Linked DNA regions of Caenorhabditis elegans. The protein of the gene in region 1 interacts with the protein of each later gene in a pairwise test. Each region holds a gene or a part of one and is shown in the gene's direction. Other genes may lie near its edges.

What was found.
Region 2: the proteins of gpb-1 (region 1) and gpc-1 interact in a two-hybrid assay, tested with the Caenorhabditis elegans proteins (one study listed by BioGRID).

Annotation. Positions count from the first base shown.
Region 1 is NC_003280.10:11,745,962-11,749,889, reverse strand, and holds the start of gpb-1 (Guanine nucleotide-binding protein subunit beta-1), read left to right. Parts: upstream 1-2,239; 5' UTR 2,240-2,242; coding exon 2,243-2,299; intron 2,300-2,829; exon of another isoform or gene 2,830-2,967; intron 2,968-3,746; coding exon 3,747-3,860; intron 3,861-3,908; coding exon 3,909-3,928.
Region 2 is NC_003284.9:12,880,645-12,884,572, reverse strand, and holds gpc-1 (Guanine nucleotide-binding protein subunit gamma), read left to right. Parts: upstream 1-2,143; 5' UTR 2,144-2,161; coding exon 2,162-2,244; intron 2,245-2,877; coding exon 2,878-2,983; 3' UTR 2,984-3,402; downstream 3,403-3,928. UniProt on the Caenorhabditis elegans protein: Guanine nucleotide-binding proteins (G proteins) are involved as a modulator or transducer in various transmembrane signaling systems.

The DNA of each region.
Region 1 (3,928 bases):
TGAGCGCGCGCCGGGCGTTTGCATCCGAGTCTGCTGTGTGTGTGTGTCTGTTTGTGTGTGCGTATTGATCCGCTCCTCAATTCTTCGCGTCTTCCTTTTGCCTCTTTCACTCGGGCCCTCTCGACCGCCCTGAAATAGTGCGCGAAAGAGGTTTCGGAAGAGAGGAGAGAAGCGTACGAGTGCGGAGACCCAGGTGAGCAGCTTGACGTAGAGCTCCCTCTCCATTCGCCTCGCTCCACTCGTCTTGCTCTCTCTCTCTCTCCATAGGAATAGTGTTCTGAATGTAGAGGTCTAGACGAGCCTCTGATTGGTGTATCTCGGGGCAGCTCACTGGCACACACACACACGCACACACACACACGCTCACGCTCAATGTTCTACTTCTTCTACGTCGTCGTCGTCTTCTACTTCTACATCTACTTCTTCTTTCTTCTTGTGCTTCGTCAAGGCATTATCTGCATATGCGTGTCTGTTTCTCTGGGCTGTGTGTTGCTTAGTCGAATCGACTGATTGCCTGACACAATCCGCTTATTTTTTCTTTTTTTTCCCTTCTAGTCCAGAACGTTTCGCCGCTTTTTCATTTCCTGTGCCCATTCACATTTTAGACCCAAACACCAGCCATTAAGCCGTCTTGCGTCCTGCCACGTCACATCAAAGCCATTAATCTTCGATGGCAGTCTGGCTCGGTCAAAATTGGCCTATTTTTGTCTGAGAACTTTGTACAATTTTATTGGTTAAAAATGCTCGCACCACCTGCTGGAGGGCACCAGATGTCCCCTCGCCCAAAGCAATTAGAATTCTGCATTTAGCAAACAAAAGTTGAATCAATAATTCGCAGATCCAATGGTAGGAGAGAGAAAGAGTGAGCCGCGCCTTCTTCGCACAGATATATATTAGCTTTTGTCACGTTTTGCGCTCCTACCTGGGAGAGCCCAAGGTATTTGAACACGGAGAGCAATATGTTCCCTCAAAACTCAAATACCTGTGCCCCATCATTTCCTTCCTTAATTCCCTCATTTCATTCGACATTTGTGGTATTCAGTTTCTTTTCTTTCTTTTTTGTCATTGTTTTGTTCTTCCGCGCCACACACACACACACAGACCAACACTTTTACATTTTTTCCCGCCCGCTCCCCTTTTCCATCCCGCTTGGTCTGCGTCTCAAGGTTTGGTTTCTTTCTCGTACAGTGTTCCGCTCTCACGCCAGTTTCTGAATCGATCTATTGATTTTTTGAAAGTTAAAAATTTTGCTTAAAATTTCTGAAGCTTATGATTTTGGTTTGCAGACCGTCATTCTGTACTTCCTGATCAGCAGCTTGGTCTCACCGTCTTTGCCAAGTTGACGTCGGTCGAGGGGTTTTAATTAAAAGGGTTAGTGATATAGATTTCTTTCTAGTAGGTTTTTCATGTTTTGATCAAAAACATACCTTTAGTTTATTCTTATTTTATTATCTCACCTATAGGGATCCCTAGAGCTAATAATCTACTTCCAAAGTTCCTCTCTAAAGAATTAAATATTTTCCCGTCTAGTTATCGATTTTAGAATCGAACTATTTTATTAGATAAGTAAGACCAAAATGTGTTGTTTTTTCAAATATAGAATTCTGGAATCACTTATTTTTAAATTGAAAAAAATCCATTTTTTTCAAATTTTTGATTTTTACATAAATTACTTGATTACAATGAAACAATCAATAATTTTCTTCATTTTTTGATTGGTTTTCGCATTGAATATTCAATTTAAAACTTATTAATTAATTAATTAAATAAAAACAAAAAACATTGCGCGGCAATTAGCATGTGCTGGCCTACCGTAGTTTCTGCAAACACCGTGACGTCAATATGCACACTGTTGTTTTTCTTTGATTTTCTTTCCTTTTTTGACCTTTTTATCTTATTTTTTCTTATTTTCTCCACAGAAAATCTCTAAAAGCTTCGAAAACTTGAATTATTTTAACGATAAATTTAATTCCTTCATGAAAATAATCAAATTCTTGGAAAAAATCGATTTTTTCTGCTATTTCCTTCAAACTCTTTTTTTCTATCCAATAATTCTTAATTCACGCTTTTTTTTGCAGGCCCAGTTGTCGAGTGCAAGAACAAAGGCCACGAAGACGACGAATAGAGCAGCGCCGCCGTCGAAAACGCGAACACCGACCAGGAGCAGCATTAGCCGCAGCCGCATCCGTCGACACTTCCATCAGTACCATCCTCCGGAGCACGCACCACCACCAGCAGCAAGATGAGCGAACTTGACCAACTTCGACAGGAGGCTGAACAGCTGAAGTCGCAGATTCGGGTGAGTAAATCTGTGTTTTTTTTTATTTTTTAAAATATTTTTTAAACTAATAATTGCAGTAATCTCTCGTTCCAGAGCATGGTCTAGCAATTGTTTGAATATGCGAAATATGAGAAATACACGCATTTATATATTTATACACACACATATACACACATACATATACAAATTGTTGGTAATAAGTAAAGCGCTCCCCTTCCAACGATGCCGCCGCCGCCGCCATCGGCGTTGTTTTTGCGCCGTACTTGAGGGGACGTGCTGCTGCACTGGATGTGTATAACACGATGGTCGTCGTCCCCCAGCCGTCGTCGTCTTCTTTTCTTCTTCTTCTACCCGCCATCGCCGCTGCAAAATATCGATCAGTAGCAGAAGTTGTTGCTCCACACACGCAGGCCGCGGCGAGCCATTGGCCGAGATGGGGTCGCCCCTGGTGGGGGCACTGAGACGAGGAGAAGCTGGAGCAGCAGCAGAAGCAGCGAGCGAGCGAGGAGAATAGATTGGCTGCCTAATGTGAGATTGTCGGCGTCTCCGGCTCTTGTTCCACTATTTTCCCGGGGCCCCGCCGCCGAATGCTCTCAATTTCTGCCGCTACTGCTGGCCAAGAGCACGAGAGAGAGAGAGAGAGATCTCTCGCAGTCTCTCTTCTGCGCAAGCTCCACTCGTGTCGTAGTGCGCCATTCTCCCTTGAGGACTCTGCTGCCGTCGTCGTCGTCGTTGTCGTTGTCATCGCGTCGCTCACTAGAATTGGTGGTAGCTCCTGCTCCGACGAGCACTCACACACACACACATGGTTGTGCGTGTGCGCGAGCACAAAATGTTGCGCGGGGTTTGGTGAAGCTCTCGTGGTGCTGAAAACGGGGTGAGCTGGCCTGGAGCGAGGAGGGGCAGCAGAGATAGAAAATACACTGAATTGGTGTTAATTAAATGCACAAAACATTTATGGAAGTGGAAGATTTTTCGCTTCAAAAATACAGTCCCCGGTCTCGAAGCGACAAATTTTTGTGAAAAGATTACTGTAATTTCAAATTCGGGAATTTTCAGCAATTTTCCATATTATGTGGACGTCTAAAAATGAGAGGTTCTGATCCCCCATGTCGATTTACGGGGCACTATTGCATCATCTCAAACTGTCCATTTAATGTGTTTAATGTATGCAAAAATATGTAATAACAGCCCGTAAATCGACAATTCGTGGCGAGACTCATGTGGCAAAAAACCTCATATATATCCGTCTAGATAATAGTTTTTCTCTCGATTTTATAAAAATTTATGTTTTTTAGTTGAAAACTATGAAAAATCGATGAAAATTCCTAGAGTGGAAATTACAGTAATTTTTATAAAAATTTAAGGCCCGAATTTACAGATTTTGAAGTAAAAAGTTGTAAAAACCAATAATTTGAAGTTTTTCATAATTAAAAAAAAAACAAAATAAATTAATTTTTTGCAGGAAGCCCGGAAATCAGCAAATGACACAACACTGGCCACCGTCGCTTCAAATCTGGAGCCAATTGGCCGCATTCAGATGAGGACGAGACGTACGCTTAGGGGACATTTAGCCAAGGTAGGGCTTTCAGACTTTTTCTAGTCATAAAATCGATAAATTTTGCAGATTTATGCAATGCACTGGGC
Region 2 (3,928 bases), on another chromosome or scaffold:
TCAAATTTATGACTCTTATGCAATCGGCATTTAAGTTTACTTTGATTTAAAAAAATTAAAACAAATGGGCTTACGAAGTCCCCGAATGTTAGTCTCATCCAACTTGGCGCTATATTAAATTATGATAAGAAGCTGCAAAAACATGTTCAAATGTATTTTATTGACAACAAAAGGTGGCAATTACTTGATTATTGCCTTTTTTGAGAATACTATAGCACTGGAGTATGTCCGAAATCGTACAGTGTTTGAACACTAATATTTGAACTTATAGTTAAGTTAACCAAAAAATTTTTAAGAAAAATGTTTTTGATCAATTTCCAAAAAATGGTAGTTTTAATTAGTCTCATTTTTAGAAACAATAAAAAAATTTTTAAAAATTTGTTAAAAATTTTACTATAATATTTAGCCATTTTGGCACCATGAGAGTGGTTTTTAAATTTTTACCTTGTTCTGCTGCTTCACCTTTAATGACAGTTCGATATATAATTATACTACTTAATTTTCATTAGTTTAATTTTAATATTGCCAGTTTGTTTGACTATATATTTCTATTAGTTACCACAAAACCTAATCACCTTTCTTTGCAGCTTTGTCAAAATATGATTAGAGTATAAAACGCATAGCTCATTTAGTAACTATGGGCAACCACACCTAATAAAAGTTTGGATAAGAAAGCTGATTGGTACGAGTTATGCTATCTGGTTATGAAATGATGAAAAGAAAACATAAAACAGGTGAAAGTAAAGAGCGAGCTGCTGACTTGTTGAGTTTTCTGGACTCTTTTTTTTTTGTAAAGATTTTGTTAAAATCACGAAAACTCGACAGTAACTCTAGTATAGCTCGTTTCTTTGGATTTTACTTCTGACTCACGAAGCGTTAAATTTTGTTTTGAATAGTGAAGAGATTTATGTGGTTTATGCTTAACGTTTTAATTATGGGAGTTATCAGCAATGAAAGCTTTTTACATATATACAATAAGATCCATTTAAAGCGTATAAAAAGTTTAGTTCTGTCCAAATAAAAACGAAAATTGGGGTTTCACATTATTTGAGAACCTAGTTGTATAATTTTCAGTAATTTTCATATTCTTCTCAGTTTGTTATAATTTTCTGCTGTCCAACGCAATTTTCGTTTTATTAAAATAGCATATAAAATAATTTAATTTTGATTAAAATTCAAGAAATACTAAATGTGATCGTAAGCTATTAACTAAATACAATTTCGTGTTGAATATTTTCAAAGTCAGAAAGTTAATACAAATCATCTTGCCTGTTCCTGATTTTTTACAAATAACAAATCTAGGAATCGAGACAAAAAACCAAATCTATATTCAAATGGTCACTGACAAATTTTTGAATACAAATCCAATCAAAACAACTATAAAGAGTTGGATTCGATTCATTCAGTTCTTGTTTTGATCAACAGAGCTTTGCAAACTGAGTGATTTTTAGATTGAGAAAGAAATGAGTTAGTAGAAGTATTAGTTTTTAAGAATTTTAGCCGCAACGTATTTTGTATGGTTATTTTGATGAATTATTAAAAATTAACATTTTTCTGGCCAATTTGATATTTACGTATAAATTATATTGAATGTAGCATATCAAAAATATTCAAAAATGTTCAATAATAAAATCAATGTTAAATCCGCTGGCGCCAAAATCCCTCCGAATCCCCTGAATTGTGGATTGACTAAGAGTAAAAGGAAGAGAAACGAAAAAGGGAGGACGACTTAATCCCGAACAATATTTTTTATGATGAAGAGCGCATAGGGCCGTCGTCAGTTCTCACACTGGATTTCACTTTTTACCGCCTCTCTTTTGTCGTGAAGAGTCTCAGAATCCAGATGTAAAATCCTCTCCAATCTATTTATTAAACATAGCTCAGTCTTCAATCTTTTAATTATAAACACCGTTTTAGCACATGAGCTCTTCTGCCTCGAAACCCTTTAATTTCGACAAAAGAGCAAATGCTCCGATCGTAAAATTGGTAGTTTCACCCACCAAACCTACTCATTTTGCGTCGACACCAAACTTGTCTCCTCGCTTTTTTTCTTCCCAGCTACCTTACTCATTTCACCAGTTTTCGCTATTGAGAAGAAGATTTGTTTTATCATATTTTGAAAATTTATTAGCGTTTCTTTCAGTTCCAGAAACCATCTGAGATGGAAAACATCAAGGCATCAACCGAACAACTCTGTGCTGAGGCCAACATTCAACGAAAAAAAGTTTCCGAAGTTTCAAAGGAGTAAGTTATTTTTTATGAGCAAAGGTGATTTACATATGAGAATAGGTATCTATTTTTAGTATTGCTACTCCGAGACGTTATTTGGATAATTCTCATTATTAATGTAAAAATTGCACATTTCTTGTTGGTATTTTTTTTGTCTAAAAGTGTACTTTATATCCTAAAGAAAGTGTGATACGTAACATCGTAATATGGCATAATTTGCTCCAGTTCTTTCATCAAACTGTGGCCAGGTTCATTAACTGTGGCAAGCACTAAACTGTAGAAATAATGAATGTCGATATTTTATTGGTAGGCATTCTTTCAACGATTTTCTTTTTTTTTTTGGAAAATCAATAACTTACTCGAAAAATCTTCAAGGCAATCGAAAACAACGCATAACTAAAATTAGGTTACACAAAAGTATAGTTTTGAAATACTTCACAATTTTAGTGATATTTAGAGTACATAATGTCGTCACAACCATTTCGACAGAACCGACAGAACGACAAAATTGTTTCAGATGTTTGAATAATTTAAAAACGAATCGAATTTTTGTAACCATCGAAAATTACAAGAATATATATGACAATGTGGAATATCAAATAGCAAAAGTGAAATATTTACTTATATGCAATCAAACTATAATTTCAGACTGCTCGATTTTTGCGAGAAGAACAAGACCAACGACATGCTGGTCTCCGGGCCAACCGATCAGCACAATCCATTCCAAGAGAAGAAAAGCTGTTCAGTACTCTAAATTGATATCGCGCATTCAAATTTCATTATCTACCGGCATTTCAAGACACGTCCCGATTTTTCACAATTCACGTTACTGTCCATCATTTCTCTATTCATTATTGCTCTATTGTTTTAGCTACACGTTTTTGAACTCTCAGTCCACAAGAAAATCAACACGTTCACCAAATCTCAATTTCCGATCTCAAATCTAACTTGCAATCTTCTTGTTTTTGGAATTGTCTTCTGTAGCTATCTGCGCTGATCACTTCGATCTAGCCAATTGGGTTTTTTTAGCATTGGCTTCACAAAAGACTGTCATTCTGAAATTTTTCAGTAGAATCGCACTCTTTTGTGAAGTTAAAGCTTTTTCCCGCAAAAATATACTTCTTAATTATTTTTTTTTCTACTTTCCTATGCATCTATAAACAATAATTTAAAACATCAGACGTTATTATGAAAGGACTTGGAAATGAATTTTTGAATCATATAAAAAAGTAAAAAATCAAAATGTTATAAAAAATCAAAAAAATGAATAACCCATGATTTTTAGAAACGGCTATTTACACGAGACAAACGGTCAAGATTATTGTGAGAATGTTCATTATTTGGAAAAAACGTATAAAAATGTTTGTATGTGAAAAATGCAACCAAAAATTTCATTTTTTCATAATTTTAATTGACAGGAAAATCGAAGGTAGTCTTTTTTCATCCATACTGTTCAGAATTGCCAGGTCTGTTAGAAAACACTAGGCAGAGTAGACTAGTTTTTACGAATGTTTTTAAAATAGTTTGATAAATGAAATATAAAGACTCCTTTTGATTTTACCGTCATCAAAAATTTTGAAAAAAAAACAGCTTCTGGACAAATATTGCAAATATTAAAAATAATTATTTTTTAGAAACTCGTGCATGTGGCACTACGATTTTCTAACATTTTTTATGATTATGGAAAATGGAAAACAAA